3 linked regions of the Macaca fascicularis genome follow. The protein of the gene in region 1 interacts with the protein of each later gene in a pairwise test. Links are inferred from orthologs where the notes say so. Each region holds a gene or a part of one and is shown in the gene's direction. Other genes may lie near its edges.

Evidence for each region.
Region 2: the proteins of DMD (region 1) and TRAF3IP1 interact in a two-hybrid assay, tested with the Homo sapiens proteins (2 studies listed by BioGRID and IntAct). The link is inferred for Macaca fascicularis from reciprocal best matches to the Homo sapiens genes DMD and TRAF3IP1.
Region 3: the proteins of DMD (region 1) and CTNNAL1 interact in binary tests that used the Homo sapiens proteins (3 or more experiments, as listed by UniProt). The two-hybrid records come from large-scale screens. The link is inferred for Macaca fascicularis from reciprocal best matches to the Homo sapiens genes DMD and CTNNAL1.

Annotation. Positions count from the first base shown.
Region 1 is NC_088395.1:33,307,164-33,310,917, reverse strand, and holds the start of DMD (dystrophin), read left to right. Parts: upstream 1-970; 5' UTR 971-1,206; coding exon 1,207-1,237; intron 1,238-3,754. UniProt on the Homo sapiens protein: Anchors the extracellular matrix to the cytoskeleton via F-actin. Ligand for dystroglycan.
Region 2 is NC_088386.1:134,235,062-134,238,815, forward strand, and holds the start of TRAF3IP1 (TRAF3-interacting protein 1), read left to right. Parts: upstream 1-1,024; 5' UTR 1,025-1,180; coding exon 1,181-1,303; exon of another isoform or gene 1,304-1,331; intron 1,332-3,754.
Region 3 is NC_088389.1:49,182,408-49,186,061, forward strand, and holds the end of CTNNAL1 (alpha-catulin), read left to right. Parts: intron 1-1,899; coding exon 1,900-1,956; intron 1,957-2,100; coding exon 2,101-2,214; intron 2,215-2,879; coding exon 2,880-2,963; intron 2,964-3,099; coding exon 3,100-3,165; 3' UTR 3,166-3,353; downstream 3,354-3,654. UniProt on the Homo sapiens protein: May modulate the Rho pathway signaling by providing a scaffold for the Lbc Rho guanine nucleotide exchange factor (ARHGEF1).

The DNA of each region.
Region 1 (3,754 bases):
GTAGGGATTATTATAACTATAAAAAGAATATCTTTCTTTAAAAAATGCTACCAATGTTTTCTATCAATTTGGGGCTCGCCTGTTGCATAAAAGTAATAAGGAACAAGATGAAGAAGACTTCTATTGGCAAAGAATGATTTACATGCTGAATGACATAATACAACTGCATTCACTTAATACAGAAAAAAAAGAGCCTGCATTCAGAACCATTAAATGATCATTAACTCAATGTCTAAGAAAATGGTGTTTTAAGAATTGGCAGCAGAGAAATGGAAGAAAGAATAATTTGTTAGTAAAGAAGTTTTATCATAATTCACAACTGAAATTTAGGATTTGAGAAAAATGTCTTTGCTCCATTATAAGAATATTCTTTATTTTAGCAGGAAAACATGTCCCATGAGACCTACACACACATTCTGCCTTCAGAATTCAGCTGCTGTGTTCTGCTGCTGCTTCTCTTATTCAGACTGTTGGCATCATCAATACATGACTTTTGCAATCAAAAATCTCAAGGGGAAAAAATAACTTTGGTAGGCAGTGGATACATAACAAATGCATAGATTATTCTGGGCATTTCTTTTTATTTGGTAGAGTGAAATTTTTGGTGTTGTTGAGAGGATAAAAAAGGCATTTAAAAGTCAATTTTAAATCGGGATTTTCTGCTCTGTTATAAATTCACATGAAAGTTACAGAAAATATTGTTATGGTTTTGTACTGAATAGTTTTTGTGTTTGGAAGGCTTTAAAAGCTAGTACTATGTCCACTGTGCTATTCTGGTTTGGATATTAATCAGAACACAGTTGAGCATTATTTGAATTCACAGAGCTTGCCATGCTGGAAGCACAACCTTATATGTAGTGACCATGGACAGTCCTATTATGGGAAACCAACTTGAGAGAGAAGGCGGGTCACTTGCTTGTGCGCAGGTCCTGGAATTTGAAATATCCAGGGGCCTCTACAGAATCCTGGCATCAGTTACTGTGTTGACTCACTCAGTGTTGGGATCACTCACTTTCCCCCTACGGGACTCAGATCTTAGAGGCAATTACCTTCAGAGAAAAATGAATAGGAAAAACTGAAGTGTTATTTTTTTAAAGCTGCTGAAGTTTGTTGGTTTCTCATTGTTTTTAAGCCTACTGGAGCAATAAAGTTTGAAGAACCTTTACCAGGTTTTTTTAATCGCTGCCTTGATATACACTTTTCAAAATGCTTTGGTGGGAAGAAGTAGAGGACTGTTGTAAGTACAAAGTAACTAAAAATGTATTTTACTGTGGCATAATGTTTAGTTTGTGACAAACTCACTAATTAGGTAGATTGATTTTAAATTATCACAGTAGTTTGCAAAGAAGCATAAATGTTATATATACTGCATATATATATGTATTTATTCAGGAATATATATTTTTCATTGGGAAAACTTTTCAATAGAAATTGAGTTTATAAGTTTTTCTTTGCAGAAGAATTAAACACATGATTTCTTGATTAATAAGCCACTGCAGTAATAGAATATGCAGAATGTCATTTGATTATAACAGATTATTTTGATTGCTGTGAGATAGTTTGTATATCTCAGTTATTATTTTGACTAGTTGATACTTCTGTATTTAGTAACAGTTACATAAAGGTTACTGACCTGACATATATTCTCAATTGAACTAACTACTGTATAGGAACTACATGGAGGCCTAAAAGTTAGGAGAAGTTTCTCTGACATATGGAGAAAATAAAGAATAAAATGAGTTGGGATGGAAAATTGAAGGATGTGAAAAGTATTGATAAAGATTTAATTGTAATGTTGCTTTCTCACATTTACTATTTCAAATGCTCTTTTCTATAGCATACCATGATGATTATTTCAAATAATGATGTGATCTATGCTATCAAATGATCAGATGATCTCTTGGGAAAACAACATACAAACTTGAGGAACTCCTAATTATGTTTAGTAGTAAATTATATTTAGTAGATGTTTCAAGTCTATCATGAGCTAGCTTTTCAGTTCAATTTTTTAGTTTGTCTTCCATATAGAAATGCAACTATTTTGTTTATTTTTAAGAAAGTCATGATGACTATTGAAGGATTTAAAAATGGACTGTGGCACAACAGTAAAAATAATATATGATAAGGACTGTGTGTCCCAAAAAGATGGGAGTTTATCTCTTCCCCACCTATCTTTGACTTGTGGAGTATAGTTATTCTAAAATAGATATGAGAGCGATGCCTATAATTAAGAATGAAAAAATAAGTCTCTCCAAATAAGTAATGCTCCACAACTACTAAAAAAAAAAAAAAAAAAGGCAGACGTTTTACCACTGTGAAAAATTTGTGGAAATAAGTTAACATTGTCCATGTATTGAGTCACATTAAAAGCTACCAGATTTTATAATACAACATTTAGTTACATTGTTTGCTTGCTTCATAAATTTCTTTTGGTGAGTATCATTATTGCTTTTAGATTGAAAAACTATTATATTTACTATCATTACAAAAATATGCATGGCATATATCTGTTGTTTGCAATATACACATATACACATATTTTTATTTATCATTTTTATTTCTTTGATATATGTAATATAAATACTATCAAAATCGCTAGTGATTTTATATATATATATATATTCTATATAATTAACCACATATACCAGTATATAGAGCAATTTTGAAAGAATATATGCAATTCTGCTGGAATGAAGCAAGGTAAACCTATCCTCTGCTTTGTCATAGATAGTTGAAAAACTTTCAGTTCTTCGAATGTGAAGGAAGGTAATCTTTTTGGAACATGTCCTGTAGGATTTTTTCACACTGCATTTAAAAAATCATCAAGTAATGCCTATGCAACATGACAATGAGTTTGTTAAGGAAAATGGAGATATACTCAGGGCTATATTATACATTAAATTTTGTTGCTTGACAATATACTACTATTTGGATGTCTGACATTTGAATCTGGTTTGTAAATTCGCCTTAGTTTGAAAAACTTATAAAAGTACATTTTGTTTTTTAAACAGAATAGTTACTCTGTAAAAGAGATCACTGTATTGTCAAACACATTGTATTGTTTACTTTTAGAATTACTCAAATAATGCATTGTAAAGAATTATTCAAATAGTGTATGGCAAATAGATATTTCATTTGAATATATTTAAATGATGTAAGTCATCTTGAGGTCTAACAAAATCATCTTTTAGAATTTCATTTGCAGAATCTTTTAAAGACATCTTAACTATGAAAAAGAGATCGCTGATCTAAATTGATGATATACTGTTAATACAAAGTTTTGGTGTATCTTACATGGCATAACATTATGAAAAATACAACAGAGTATGTCATATAGATGTTATTCTAAACTTTAAAAAAGACTACAAAGTGTTTTATGCATAATTACATTATTTAAGGGGAAATAGGTGTTGGTTGACACTTCTAGCTAGACAGTACTGAATTGCAAATTCATCATTTGGGCAGAGATATTAATACAGCTTCCTCTTTATTCCTATAGCATTCATTTGAAATCCCTGTACTCCACGTCATTTGCTATATATGAAACAAATTGTCAAGTTTTTAACCACTTGTGTAGTTTAATAAAAGAGATTAAAATCATTGCCTTGGAAACATCAGGTGTTTTTCAAAATTCTATTTTATTATCTTTCATCAAAATTTTATCTCAAGAGTAAAACAAACTGATTTCCCAAACTTTCCTTCTCCTCCCACTTTCTATTGTAATATTTTCCTAACTTATTAAAAATGATTTATC
Region 2 (3,754 bases), on another chromosome or scaffold:
CCTGTAATCCTAGCACTTTGGGAGGCCGAGGCGGGCGGATCACGAGGTCAGGAGATCGAGACCATCCTGACTAACAACGGTGAAACCCGTCTCTACTAAAAATACAAAAAAAAAAAAAAAAAAAAAAGAATTAGCCGGGCGAGGTGGCAGGCGCCTGTAGTCCCAGCTACTCCAGAGGCTGAGGCAGGAGAATGGCGTGAACCCAGGAGACGGAGCTTGCAGTGAGCCGAGATAGTGCCACTGCACTCAAGCCTGGGCGACAGAGCGAGACTCCGCCTCAAAAAAAAAAAAAAAAAAAAAAAAAAGAGTTATAACGGTGTTCATAAGAAGAACTACAGACCCCAGAGCTCTCAAATCGCTGGAAGGACTTCTGCGGTGGGCCTGTGCATGATGCACAGAGGACAGGTGGGAAAGAATCACAGACACCTAGTAAGACAACGGGGCATGGCTTTGTCCCGGTTTCAGAGCACCGACACATTTAGTCACCATTTACCTTCCTGGGAGGTAGATTAGGCAGGGGGCACACTAGCCCTGCTTTGTAGGAACAGAAGTAGAGTCTCAGAGAAAACAAGTGACTTGCCCAAGAAGCCTTATTAAGTACCAGCCAGGACAGTGTATTTTCTATTCCTTGTGTTTTGGGATAACTTAGTACCGTCCCCTCCGATGAACCAGTGCCTGCAAAAGCCCTTGAGATCTGGGAAACAGGAGGCACAGATCTTGGAGTTTACCTTGTTCTTAATCAGTCCTCAGGCAGTCGCCTCTAACGCGAGCGAATACCCGCTTCCCGAGGCCGTCACTGGGCAGAGGAGGGGCCAGGCTCCGGATCCCAGATCCCCTTTCCCCGCCCCGCCGTGCCACGCCTGCGCGGGCACGGCCGCCCGCCCCCAAACCCCTCCCGCGGAACCCGCAATCCTGCCTGCGCGGGCGCGGGACTGCGGGCAGGGGGAGGGGCATCGCGGCGCGTCCGTTGCTAAGGCCGCGCAGCCCTAGCGACCGAACGCCCTGCGGCGGCCGCGCAGGCGCTGTGGTGGGCTCCGGTGCACTGTGGGATGGAAACCGGAGCGGCGCGTCCTGGCGGGACCGGGCGGCGGCGGCGGGGCCGGCGGCGGCCAGGGACCCGGGCTTAGGCTCGGCCGGGCCGGCTGAGGACGCAGGCGGCCAGCGGGCGGCGGGCGCCGTCATGAACGCGGCGGTGGTGAGGCGGACGCAGGAGGCGCTGGGGAAGGTGATACGGAGGCCGCCGCTGACAGAGAAGCTGCTGAGCAAGCCCCCGTTCCGCTACCTGCACGACATCATCACGGAGGTGGGCGCCGGGTTCCGGGCCCGGCCAGGTGCGGGTCGGGGTTCCGGTGGGCGCCGAGGTCAGGGCCCAGGCCGGGTGGCGCCGGGTGCGAGCCGGGCTCGGGCTCAGGTGCGGGTGGGGGGCCGGGGCTGGGCCAGAGTCGGGGCCCGGGCCGGGTGTGAACCCGGTGTGGGCCGAGCTCGAGGTGCAGGTCGGGGACCCGGTCAGCGCCGAGTGTGAACCGAGTGTGGGCCGGGCTCAGGGTGCAGGTCAGGGGCCGGGTTAGGGCCGAGTGTGGACCGGGTGTGGGCCGGGCTCGGGGTGCAGGTCGGGGACTGGTTCAGGGCCGGGTGTGGGCCGGGCGCAGGGTGCGGGTCGGGGACCGGGGTGAGTTCCGGGGTCGGGGCGAGAGCTCTGTGCGGCCCCTGCCCGGGAGCCCGGCCTGTAGGCCCAATTCCGCGGCGCCCTCCACGCGGAGGTCCTGCCCCTCCCCCGGCTCCGGGCCGCCGCTTACAGGGAGGCTCCGGGCCCTCGGGGACCATTACTTCTTCCCTGCCTACCGTGTGTCTCCTTAGTGCATCTTCCATTCTGCCTGGCAGAGCTGCTTCTGTGACTCCCACCTCATCTAACCCTGCAGAACCCTTCTCACTTTCCCTGAAGCATTTAGCACGTGAAAGGCTAAATCCTGGGAGAATGGAAATAATATTTTTTATACAGCCTTCTGCCCCGAAGTTTCCCTCCATACCACATTTTGGGTGCTTAATAAATGCCTGTGGGTGAATTTAGTGGAGGTGGTGGTAGGGAGACTTGGCAGGAAAAACTAACAGAGCAGCACACCCTGCCCTAAATTGAGATTGGTGGTCTCTGTAGCTTTTCCCCATTTGCAGATGGTGTGCTCCTCAGTGACGGAGACCCTGGCTTGCTTATTAGTATGGCTCTGGTGATCTGCAGTGGGTAAGGTACATAGAAATTGCACAACAAACATCCCCTGTTGAGTGGGACCTGTCAAGGCTTGTGGTAACTCCCTGGTAACTCTTAGGAGCGTCACTGCGGGGGTTGCAGCACCCATTTCCATGGTGGACCCAAGGGCACGTGGGAACTCAGAGGTGTGTTTTGGGATTTAGGATTCAGGTTGGACTTGCAGACTTCCAGGGCCTCATGACCTCACCTGGTGATGGTCCTCAAGCTCTGTTTCTCACTCTTTTCAACAGATTGGGTGCCTTATTCTTGCACAGACTTTGCTTTACTGGGTCTGCCCTCCTACCTTAGCTTAAACTTGTGGGCTGGAGCGTGTGCCTCTGTGTTAAAACAGTGCCTAAAAATGCTCTCGAATCCACCCACATCCCGAGGCACTGCCAGCCCTGGTCACGTCCTCCCAGCTGGTGCAGCACTTACAGCCTGTCCTGGACAGTGTGTGGGGAGGGGACCTGCTGTGTGGATAGCCCGGTGGGAGCGGAACAGTGTGCCGCATCACCACTGTCCCATGAAATAGGCAGGTACCCGTCCTCTGACCGAGAGGGAACAAGAGCCAATGTGAGCCCAGCCAGCTATAGCTGTGGCTGCCAAAACCTTTATTCTCCCAGTCCTGTCTGCCCCACTGAAATGCAGAGCCCTGAAATGCAGAGGGAGGTGCAGGGAGTGTGCCTTATCCTTGTGGGGCAGTAGTGGCGCTCAGCTCACGGTGGCTGTCCAGTCACTACCACATGGTTGGTCAGAGGCATCCTAATGGGAGAGGAGGAAGAATATGGGCTGGGTGCTGTGGCTCACGCCTGTAATCCCAGCACTCTGGGAGGCCAAGGCGGGCCGATCACTTGAGCCCAGGTGTTCAAGACCAGCCTGGCCAACATGGCAAAACTCCATCTCTACTGAGAATACAAAAATTAGCTGAATGTGGTGGTGCACCTGTAATCCCAGCTACTCAGGAGGCTGAGTAGGGAAGATTGCTTGAGCCTGGAAGGTTGAGGCTGCAGTGAGCCGTGATTGTACCACTGCACTCCAGCCTGGGTGACAGAGTAAGACCCTGTCTCAAAAAAAAAAAAAAAAAAAAAAAAGGGGATTGCTTTCCTGGCCAGGTAGATAGGGTGCGTGGAACGAGCTGCGTGTTCCCAATTAGGAACTACTGGTCTGCTCTTCTCCCATAGACTTCCTCATCTAATGCCAAAGTTGATTTCTGTCCCTGTGTAAAGATAAATAAATTGTCACCTACTTGATAAAGATGTTAGAATGACTGACACATTGGAAAGGATTTTCAGATAATAGATGGGGAGCCTCTCATGAAAATGCCTTGCTGTCCTGAATATTATACACAAATTACTATATTAGTATTTTAGCTATAGCTAAACTAACCACCCCGTTTCATTAAGCTAAGTGTGGATCCTGTGACGTTAATGTCTCTTGTCACTTACAGTTATTGCTCACAATTTTTTTTTTTTTGTTTTAGAGGGAGTCTTGCTCTGTCACCCAGACTGGAGT
Region 3 (3,654 bases), on another chromosome or scaffold:
GGGTGGAAATCAAGCATTTTGTTTTGCACATGTTAAGTACAGGTCAGATAGGAAATACACTTGGCCTTCCTTATCTGCAGGTTTTGCATCTGCAGATTCAACCAACTATGGATTGAAAATATCCAAAACAGTAAAAACAGGCTGGGCACAATGGCTCACTCCTATAACCCTAGCACTTTGGGAGACCAAGCTGGGAGGATCACTTGAGTCCAGGAGTTTGAGACCAGCCTGGGCAACATAGTGAGACCTTGTCTCTACAAAAAATAATTTATAAAAACTAGCGGGGCATGGTGGCACACATCTGTAGTCCTAGCTACTCAGGAGGCTGAGGCAGGAGGATTGCTTGAGCCTGGGAGGTCGAGGCTTTAGTGAGCTGTGATCCCACCACTTCACTTCACTCTGGGCAACAGAGTGAGACCCCTGTCTCAAAAAAAAAAAAAAAAAAAAAAAAGAAGAAAACCAATAAAACATAACTACAGTTAAAAAAAAAATACATTTTAACAAGTTAGAGTTCCAAGGGGGGAAAAACAATACAGTATAACTACGATTTACTTAGTATTTACATGAACTATAATTATAATTTAGAGATGAGATGATTTGAAGTATATGGGATGATGCGTGTAGGTTATATGCAAATACTACACTGTTTTATTTAAGGGACTGAAGCATCTACAGATTTTAGTATCCTTGGAGAGGTCTGGGAACCCATCTCCCGTGGATACTGAGGGATGGCTGTACAAGACAGATGTCAGGATAGTTCAGGAGTGCAGACAGAGACTTGGGAGTTATCAGCTTTCAGGTAGTTTTAAAACCATCATACTCTATGAGACAGATATGGATTTTGTCCCCAAGGGGTTTGCAGTCCAGAAGGAAAGAGAAAGTGTGCAGAATAGAAAGTGGTAACATGAAGTGATAAGGAACACTTGGGGAAGTGAATCATTTCATTTGGTTGGAATTTAGATGTAAAGTTTACTGGTTTCCCTTTTAAAGGGAAGGTTGCAAAGTACGATTTGACCTTGAGATCACTTTATCCAATGATAGCAAGGTGTTAAGCCTTTTGAATAGAGGGTAAAAACTAACTCTGGAATTATTGCCTCCTCCTTCTTAGTATTCTTTAATTTATTTCGAAGACCTATTACTTTCATTCACAAATCACTCTCAGATTTTCCCTGTTCTCTCCATTATTACTGCTGCCACCTAAAACTAAGCCTTCCTCCCTTTACTCCCCTGGCATCTCACTCCGAAATACTCTGCAAACCATCTTAACATAATATCCTAAATACTTCTATCATACCTGCCCAACCTTATTTTTCATGGTTCTTCTCCATCATCCTGTTCATCTCACTAAATTATAGAATTTATGGTACATGGTGAATAGTGAAAATTAATCTGAAAAAAAAAAAAAAAAAAAAAAACCGGAACAAAACCCAACCACCTGGATTGGTTCTCTCAAATGTCTGGTTATGGATGGGTGACAAATTTTGCCTTGCCTAGATGGAAGTGGGAAGGTCCTAACCCTTTTGACCTCATGCTTGAAAATTCATCATCCTTTTATAATTGAGCATATTTGAGATGAGCTCTAGGTCCCTTGAGTAATCTAGACATAATTTGTGTGGCTGAATATCACACAACTGCGTGACCCTCCAGAATAATTGGAGGTCTGGTGTAGAGAAGCCTCTCCAGGGATGGATTCTGCATCTGGTCTGTGAAAACTCCTTCAGAAAACAGGTAAACACTTGTGCATTCCTGGTACAGGAAAAAGTTTAGGAGTTCCATGACAGACTTTTTATGTCTAGGCTTTATTTTTTAAATTCTATGTAAAAAACATTAGTAAGTGTATTTCTTACCAACTATCCATAGACATCAGTCTAAAATAGTGGTGTTTTCTCTTTCTATCAGGTTTTTGCTGCAGAGGGTTTAAAACTTACTTCCAGTGTACAAGCTTTTTCAAAACAGGTAACACATGTCTACCTGCCTGGTGCTGGTGGTGGTATTATATATACCCACTTTGGGGGTATAATATCAAGGTATAAAGGTATTTAAGGTATTAAAGATGGAGTTTTGTTGCGGGCTGTTATAACTTGCTAAATTACATTTCAGCTGAAAGACGATGACAAGCTTATGCTTCTCCTGGAAATAAACAAGCTAATTCCTCTATGCCACCAGCTCCAGACAGTAACTAAGACTTCTTTGCAGAATAAAGTATTTCTAAAGGTAAAAGAGACATTTGAAAAACGTTCACATATCTATCTTTATCTGGTTAGGGAAAGCCCCTTTTTCTTCAAATAAAGTGTTAATACCCACAGAAGGGCAATTTTATTTCCTTTTTTTCATGCCTTGTCTACAAGAATCATTTATTATCTACCCTTATAACTGACCCCAGAGAGTAGCAGATTCACCAAAGAAAGTAGTTTTTGGGACATCATTAATTCCATAGCACTGAGCAGCTACCCTTCAATTCTGAAGTCATTTCCTCTGTAACTAGGACACAGGTGCCTCCGAGTCTGGTCTCCCATAATTTGTCTGAGAGAATATGGGTTTGTGCCCACAATGCAGAGTGCAAGGAATTGCAAAGGATGAGATTTAATTCCACTATTTGGAGTGTTTTGGGAAGCCCCTAAACAGCCTGCATTAGAATGATGAATTTTCCACCCACTCTTTCTGCTGAGGTTCCATGAGATAGACATGAGATGTAGGCAGTGACCCCTGCACCTGTGTCCTGGGGCTTTAAGTCAACTCATGTGCCTAAATCCATGTATCTTTCACAATCCCTTAGATTTCCATATGGAGAAAATTTTATCATGTTAAAACTAAATAAATGGTAAGGTCTTTTAAATACTACTTTTAGAATATCATTTGCATGCTTTTTGTCACTGTAGGTTGATAAGTGTATTACAAAGACAAGATCCATGATGGCTCTCTTAGTCCAACTTCTTTCACTTTGTTATAAACTGCTGAAGAAGGTGAGATAGCTTTTCTATTTTAGACTCATACTTTAAAAATTGGTTAAAAGGAAAATGCAAAAGAAAATAGTTACTACTTAATTTTGTAATTTTTTTTCAGAGTGAAACAGATACTAATTGTCTTAACTCTTTCCAGCTTCAGATGGAAAATAACGGATGGATCTCAGTTACAAATAAGGACAGTATGGATGGTAAAATTTGAGAGGCTTATGGGATCAGATCTCGGGAACATCATGTGATGAAGCTGACATTTTAAAAAAGCAAATGATCCTTTATGTTTTTGGATATTCATCAATTTTATAAAGAAAACAATATTGAAATTTTGCTCTATTTTCTGATCATGAAACTGTAAAGCTTTTTGACAACTAATAAATGTCATGGCAATTGCTAGATTCTAATTGTAGTGTGATTTAAAAATGGAACATTGCACTAGTGTTCTTTAAAAGTCAAACCAAATATCCCAACTGTCCAAAGGATAATTTAATCCAAAGAAGCTATTTTGAATATGTGTTCGCCTTTGGCATATTTTACCTTAACTGTTTTCTTTCTTTATCATCTAGATCACTAATTTCAGCAGCAAACATACAGTAGTCTGGGTGAACGCAGGGTTTTCCTTAAACCTGTGGACTCTTCTTCAATCCCTCTCTTTACCAAGTGTGACAAAAATCCCCTTGATGACCCTGTCCCAGAT